Linked DNA regions of Schizosaccharomyces pombe. The gene in region 1 interacts genetically with each later gene. Each region holds a gene or a part of one and is shown in the gene's direction. Other genes may lie near its edges. The genes, in order: SPOM_SPCC162.03 and opy1.

What was found.
Region 2: mutations in SPOM_SPCC162.03 (region 1) and opy1 together harm fitness more than expected from each alone (negative genetic interaction), as found in Schizosaccharomyces pombe (one large-scale study listed by BioGRID).

What each region holds. Positions count from the first base shown.
Region 1 is NC_003421.2:1,581,846-1,585,726, reverse strand, and holds SPOM_SPCC162.03 (dehydrogenase), read left to right. Parts: upstream 1-1,707; 5' UTR 1,708-1,944; coding exon 1,945-2,823; 3' UTR 2,824-3,143; downstream 3,144-3,881. Other genes in the region: SPOM_SPCC162.02C (AMP-binding dehydrogenase), read right to left, coding at 1-1,247.
Region 2 is NC_003421.2:944,016-948,275, reverse strand, and holds opy1 (protein opy1), read left to right. Parts: upstream 1-1,891; 5' UTR 1,892-2,015; coding exon 2,016-2,135; exon of another isoform or gene 2,136-2,416; coding exon 2,417-2,479; exon of another isoform or gene 2,480-2,529; coding exon 2,530-2,605; exon of another isoform or gene 2,606-2,643; coding exon 2,644-3,404; 3' UTR 3,405-3,760; downstream 3,761-4,260. Other genes in the region: ade10 (bifunctional IMP cyclohydrolase/phosphoribosylaminoimidazolecarboxamideformyltransferase), read left to right, coding at 1-444; pog1 (DNA polymerase), read right to left, coding at 3,804-4,260. UniProt on the Schizosaccharomyces pombe protein: Binds phosphatidylinositol 4,5-bisphosphate (PtdIns(4,5)P2/PIP2) at the cell membrane.

The sequences.
Region 1 (3,881 bases):
TAAGAATTCCAAACCGCCAAGTCAGCAAATCGCACTGCTGGTTGACCATCATAATTTATAAACGTAGAATTACGGGATTGAATAGTTTCAGCATCATCGCCTACATAAGGCTCCGATTGTACATCGGTCACAACACAAACAAAGCCCTCGCAACCAATTTTTTCAGGAACAGCTTCGTTATCCTCAGTGACTAACATTAGTTTTTTAACGGTTTTACCAGGGAAATAGACAAGCTCTTTGTTATGCAGTGTGTCTTTCCCATTGTAAGCCAAAAATGAAACCAATCCCGACTCAGTAGTACCATACTGTGGATAAATGGTCGCATTTGGTAATACTCGTTTGCATGTATGATACATGTTTGCAGGGACCATTTCACCGCCTGCTGCTACTAGTTTACAAGCAGGAAAGCATTCTTCCTTGTCAGGCATTATTTGGAGAGTTAGAACAAGGAGATTGGGTAAAATAATTAAACGTTCGCATCCAGCACGAAGAGCATAGTAAACATTCCAAGCAAGCCGTTCAGCCTCTGAAGTGCAAGTAGCCGATATCGAAGAGGATGGGTACAGTAAGTTCCCATTACAATACAAGGCATTAATCCAACTCAAGGTTGTTAAAGCAAAGCTGGTAGCCATTACCATTGGAGTGGAGAGATGATTCATAAATTCAGGAGTTCCATAGTCATAACCCAAAGCATATTTCTTCATGAGAAATGGCATGGATTTAGGGACTCCTGTGGACCCACTAGAATGGTTAATAAGAGCGACTTCCGGCTCTAATCCAGCTCGAATACAAGGAGCATCGATATCCAGCGGCAGCGAAGCCAAGGATGTAGCATTTAAGGTGTCCACCTCAAACTTGGGCTTATATTCATGATAAAGCAAATCAGAAATATTCAAACGTTTAACAAGTACACGAACAACTTGCTGGGACCAAATTTGGTTAAAAATAACGCAGGTTCGTCCAGTAGCCCATAAAGCAAATATAGAACACAGAAAATCCAACTCGTGTCCCATATGTATTCCAACTGTCTTTCCCAAGCCTAAATCATCACAAAATTTAGCAATTGTGTTAACACGACGAAGTAATTCTGTATATGTATATTTAGCAACAATTCCACGTTCATTGTACACGGAGATAAACCGATGATCTGGTGTTTCTTTTGCGTTTTTCAAAAGGCGAGCGATTGGTGTATCTTCTTCTTTAGATATGGATGAAAACGAAACTGATTCTGACGAATCGCACAGCATTTTTTTTTAAATATTTTCAATACCAGTATCAACTAAAGAAGCAACCTTGAAATGACAAACAGCAAATTTCGTAAAGTTAAAAAGTTAACACTTCTTGTTTCAAATCGGTCTTCTATGCTAACGATACATTAATCTCACTGCATGTAAAAAAACCAGGATCCGGCTATAGGAATCCGACTCCATTGCCCTCAATAAGAGTATACAGTATCCGGAAGAACATATTGTATTCTTACAACTTTAAGAGTTAACTAACTTAATTCACAAATTGTTCAGGACATTGAGACAGCGGTATGGTGGTGAGTTTTGAGACGTAGCGCAAGCACTACATTACTGAGCCTATCTATATCCCTTTATAGGATTCTTTTATACGATGAGCTACGGATAGTAGAAACGAAAAGTGTTTACAGACATCCGAACACCAACAACATCATCATACTTTCACTTCGAGAAATGAAGACTTAGGAAAAGCAATATCCAGCAAGTGGATTAGAGAGTTAAGTTAAGCAATTCATTGTTAAGAAGCTCAAAAGAATCAGGGTTTGTCTGTTACGCGACGATTGTGAACTACTCGAATACCATTTGAAAAGGCTTACTACAACAGTAATCGGGTAAAAACGGGCTTGGTTGAGAAAGCAAAAAAATTGTTTAATTGTACAATCGTGGTGTCTCAAAAGACGAAACACGATCATAAGAAACAATGAAATCTACGTTTTCTACTGTACTCATTACTGGGTCATCCAAAGGATTGGGCTATGCATTGGTGAAAGTTGGATTGGCCCAAGGTTATAATGTAATAGCTTGTTCTCGTGCTCCCGACACAATAACCATCGAGCATTCAAAATTATTAAAGCTCAAATTAGATGTTACAGATGTGAAGTCTGTTGAAACCGCTTTCAAAGATGCAAAGAGGCGATTTGGAAACGTAGACATAGTGATCAACAATGCAGGGTATGGCCTTGTTGGCGAATTTGAATCATACAACATTGAGGAAATGCATCGTCAAATGAATGTAAATTTTTGGGGAGTTGCATACATTACCAAAGAAGCGTTGAATCTCATGCGCGAATCCGGTAAAGGAGGGCGTATTTTACAAATTTCGTCAGTCGCAGGTTATTACCCATCTCCGTGTTTAAGCATGTATAATGCTAGCAAATTTGCTGTCGAAGGGCTTTCGCAAACAATTATGAGAGAGTTAGATCCGAATTGGAACATTGCGATAACTATTGTACAGCCAGGTGGCATGCAAACAGAATGGGCTTCCTCTAATATGCAATGGGCAAAACCTCATCCAGCCTACGAAAATGACAGGTCTTGGCGACCATTTTGGGAAAACTATCATGGCTGCGAGGAAACTGACCCGAACAAAGCTGCGGAGTTGTTATATAGCATTGCCAAACTCGACAGGCCGCCTCAAAAGCTTGTCCTAGGCCACGATTCCTTGGAATTAATCCGCAAGCAACATCAAGACATAGGGGAAGAGCTTGAAAGTAATGTTGCACTTAGTACAAGTGTTGCAAAGGATGATTTTGATCCAGCTTCGGTAGAAACTTTGCGTCAAAATCTTCAATCTATGTGATGAAGGCATACAAGAATTTTTTTTGATCTCGTTGAATAGAATTAAATGAAGAGTTGAATGTATATGAGGATCGCAAAACGATCATTTCCTTATTTACACATTCATATGAGAAAATGCAGTCAAACAATTTCTAAAACTACAATGCATTGGTTCAAATATTAATGAACTTGTCTGCATTTATTTTCTTTGCACAAATTTTTCACTTTCATACTTCGTAAAAAAAAATGTGTATTTCACTGATTAAGAAACGTTCCAAATTACCAATTAATGCTATTCATTTGAATATAACACCACTTCTGTTGCTTCTTCATAAATTCTGAATAACAAACATCAGTGTCTATACTGTTTAGTAAGGCTACGGACAAAAATTTGTGCCTCTAATGATCTAGCGTCAGAACATTAGAATTGTCACAAATTTTAAAAATTAAGATCAAAGTAAAGTACATGAATCTCCATTGTATTGTATTAGAATCCGTGTTTATAATTATGCTCCGTAACATAACATATACTAATCTTACCTACTTCTAGCTTCGTCTTTTCATTGTTTATCAAATAGTGAGCTGCGAAATAATGTGGATTGTGTCAGCAATACTACACTACGCTATAATACACTACGTTGCGTATCACTATATGTCACATGTATATATAGTACCATGTATGATACGATATTGAGATTGATCTTAATGATAATCTATCAAGATCTATATTATCTGAATAATATAAATAGAGCTACTGCTGAACCTCGTTCCTCAGTTCAGTTATGAGCTATATTAGTGATAGGTAACATTATAACCTAATTAATACAATACCTATACTCAGTTGCTACTCATATAACCTGTGTAATGTAATATAATAGGTCACAAGGAAAACTCACCGCAGTTCTACGTATCCTTAAATCAGATACCAAACTGCGTAGCTAACATGAAGGAATCTCAAGCTAACTTAATAAAAAGGCAGTGACAGAATAAATGTGTCAGAAGCAATCCACTGCCTCGTTCAGTTTTTTCGTTCTTCTTTTTTTATGCCATTGTTTGAAGGAATTAGTTGGAAATTTGTTT
Region 2 (4,260 bases), 640 kb from region 1:
GGTCAACAATCCCGCATTCATTGCAACCGTTTGGCCGGTGATAAGGCTGATAACTGGTGGCTTCGTCATCACCCTAAAGTCTTGGGTATGCAATTTAAGAAGTCTGCTAAGCGTCCTGAGAAATCTAACGCTATTGACTTGTACGTCCTTGATGCCGTTCCTGCTGAAGGTAGTGAACGTGAGCAATGGGAGTCTGCATTCGAGACTATTCCCGAGCCTCTTACTAAAAAGGAGCGGGAGGAATTTTTGGCTACTTGCAAGGATGTTGTCTGTGCCAGTGATGCCTTCTTCCCCTTCCCTGACAACATCTATCGTCTTGCCCAAAGCGGTGTCAAATATGTTGCTGCACCTGGCGGTAGTGTCATGGATCAAGCTGTTCGCGACACTGCTAATGAGTTCAACATGGTCTTTTCCGAGATCCCCTTGCGTTTGTTCCACCATTAATCTTGTTTGTATACCTAATTTTTGACCACTATTACTATGGATATAATTTTTTTTGTTCTGTATATTTGATAGGTTTCCTCAGTTTATACCATCATTTAATAGAGGTATTACAATAAAGACTTCAACGTCTTTTACTTTTTTTGATTTAATATAAAAAAATTTGGCATCTTTTTTGTATCCTGAATTTTGAAAAGATTTCCGATACTCAAGGCATTTTATTTCAGTAATAGTAGGGAAAATATTTTTTATTGTTTAACACGAATGCAACAATTTTATTCGAAAGCTTGGAAATTCACAGCATAACGGGCTCAATAAAGCATTTTTGGTTGCTAAGCTAACATATGAAGTAGAAAGGAAAACGCCATCAAACCTGCTTTTTGGATGTGAGCTTCGCAGTAAACTGACTGAGTTAAACATGTTCTTGGGTGTTTGCAAATTTCTATTAAATTGATTGAGCGTATGTTTTTGCTGCAGTTGATTTGAAGCATAAAAAATCCGGTCAGGGAGGGACTCGAACCCTCGACCTCACGATTAACAGTCGTGCGCAATAACCAACTATGCTACCCGACCTTAGTTACTCACGAGCAAAATTAGTACTATTTAATGGTATTAAAAAGGATTTAATGACTTTAAAATTGTTTTTTTTTTAACCCCATTCTTGCTTGATATATTTCCCATCTTAAAGGGTTACATACTCTTATTCTTTTATCTTTCATTCGATTGTGATTGATTTACCATATCAATAATCATCTTACAAGACCGGAAACTATCAACTATCTGGACGTAAAGTGAAGCATAAAGAAGATGGCATAGAGGACGGAAGGGAATTTTTATTATTATTCCAAGAAACCATGCTAAAATCACGTTTAAACCCTACTCCCTACTAACTCAGTATCTACTGAGTAGCTTTCATAGGTCTCGAACCGAATGGGAAAGACCAACGCTTTCTACATTAGAGAAAGTGGTTCTCTAAAAAATATTTAAAAAAGTATTTCTTTCTTGTTGCTTTTCTTTTTGTTACAGCGAACAAGTGCTCCCTTTAAATAGCTTTTTTGTTTTCATCCTGCCAGTCCTTACAACAATCCCTTACCACTGTGCACCAATACAACCTAAAGTTGAATTTCTGTAACAGTAGGATTTACAAAAGTTCTTTTGATTCTTAATTAGTATACGAGATGTAGCACTTCTACACGATTACTGTGTCCATGTACTATATGGTTGTATGCCTCTCAAAATAAAGATGACATATTTTCAGACTACCTTTTTCAAAAAGAAGGCTTCTCAATTCTACTGCTACAATTTATTCGTACTATCATTTCTATTATTGAAATTTCTCTACCATACATTTTAATTTCACTTGACAAATAGCGATACGTTAATGAACGCTATTACTGAATATGTACGTCGCTGGTACCACTAACACGTATGCGTTAGGAAACGTGATTTTAACCAAAATCTGTATAGAGGACGACTTTACATCGTTCTAGTTTAACACCTTTCAGTTTAAGGAATTTTCTTGATGTATTCAAAAGAAAGAAGGCGTTTATTAGTTTGACTATTCGCTTGATGAAATGGACCCAGGAGTTTCATCGCATCTCAGAACTGCTAGCCTTGATGAAGCAAGAAGGCTTCCAGAGCTTGAGCGTGTTTTAAAATCCGGATGGTTGATAAAGAAAGGACATGCAACTTCTGTATGTATTCATTAACTTAGTTGTCTGAGTAATATTTACGATACGTTTGAGTGGAAAGGGATTTGGAGTATTCTTTAATTTTGTGAAGTGTACTTAGAAGTGAATGATACGTACTCTTAATTCTTTATTGTTCGCTTTTGATTTGGGGATATGATGATGCAAACAGCACCCTACAAGCACTTTGACCAATTGATTTTCAGAATATTCCAATTATTTGCTTCCCGTTTCAGAGTCAATATTTGCACTCATGGTTTTTTTTGTAGTGGATGCTAACAACCTAGACTAAAAAGCAATTATGGGCTGTTCTTCGCAGAGATCAGTTATCTTTTTACAAAGACGAAAAGGTTTGTGAATAAAATGTGCAAATTTCAACGACGCGCTAACAGTCTTCAAGGAGTACAAAACCAAATTTATTTTCCCTACTCAGGATATTTCAGCTGTTGCCTACTACAAAGAAAAATCACCAAAAAGTACGTTAGAATTTTTGATGTTTATATCTAATGTTTAGCTTTTTTCCTGTATTTAAATGAAAAGATAATTCGTCTCATTGCCACTTCAAATGAGGATGCTGAGGAATGGGTTCATGTTCTAAGATCCACAACGGGTTATAGGGCACCGTTTTCAAGACATCCTATCAGTTATATCCTTGCGAACTCTTCATCTCGAACCGAAAGCGAGCCTAACGTTCAGATCTCTGATACTGACTTCGACAATATTTCGACTGAACCTCGTAATCAAACGACTTCTCCTTTAGACTTGGAAACTGGTCAGGGTGACCATTTCTGTACTTCACTTTATGATTTGATACAGTTTGGAAAGTTGAGACCACCAGGTATCAATGAAGAAAATGCAAATTACCCCTTCAACCCACAAGAAGTTAATACGCTGAATAAGCACAGGCATTCGGCTTCCTTACAAAATCTCTATAAACTCTTGGATGAAAATAAAGTTCTTATGCAAGGAACCATTCACTGGCTACATGGAAATTTACATAGGTGGTCCAAGTGTTGGGCTGTTGTTCGTGGATATGGTATGACTATTTACAACACGAACCGAGAGTACAAACCTGTTAAAGTGATACCGATAGCCGACATTCAGGATGTTGCTGAAATAAACGTTCCGGAAAGCTCACACAAATACTTTTTTACCGTAATTACGCAAAACAAACCTATCGAATTTCGCGTTGATAACGAAGATTCACTTATACTCTGGGTTGCTGCACTTAAGACTTCTATTGACAAGGCCAATGGTACTTTTACTGCTTGTTAAAAATGGCTTTTCCATCAAAATATTTGGTGCATAATACGATTCCTCAGCTACTTTTCTAGCTACCTTCTTGTGATTTCCTTTCATAAGACTCCCCTTACCCTTCGTGTACATACGTGTTGATCCGTTCTGTTTCTATATGTTTTGACTATCTCGTTGTTTTTTTTTTGTCTAATAATATTTCCGATAATGTCCGAAAATCGACACAGCTAGTTACAAAAGTGTCTTTCTTGCTCTAATTTAATGATTTTTTTCCTTCGTCATGAGCCAGTTTGTAGTACCATCGTTCGCTCCACTAAACAAACCTTTTGATGAAAATTATTTTCAATGTCATAACTATCCCTAAAATTATCCTAACCGAAAAACACATTTTTTAACTAAAATAAATTATTCTTTTGCTGATCAGTAAAATGCTTGTGCTTTTAAATATGCAATGTTTTTTTTGTCTTCTTCTGTAATCTCTGCTGAAGTAGTAGCTTTAACATCCACAAAACACTGAATTTGCTCAAGTGGCTCAAGTGATTGACCGGACTGCTCGAGTTTTTCTAGAACTGACTCTATAGTAAGCTCTTCTCCAGGAGGTATGGGGACTTTGTTAGAGGGTGTTACACAGTCCATCTTAACATCTTTTCTTAGTACATGGTCAATATCAACGGAAGAAAAAAATGCGACAGATTGTGGAAGCTCGTTGATGCCAAGTCGTTGACAAAAAAACGCACGAGTCCACAAGTTAGCCACCTGTAAGGCAAATGCAACCCGATATTTATCTTTATCTGATGATAAATAACGAACCTCGTCATGAACAGTTAAAGAAAGGCGAGCTTCTAGATAATATTTCTTAATTAAATGATTCATGGAT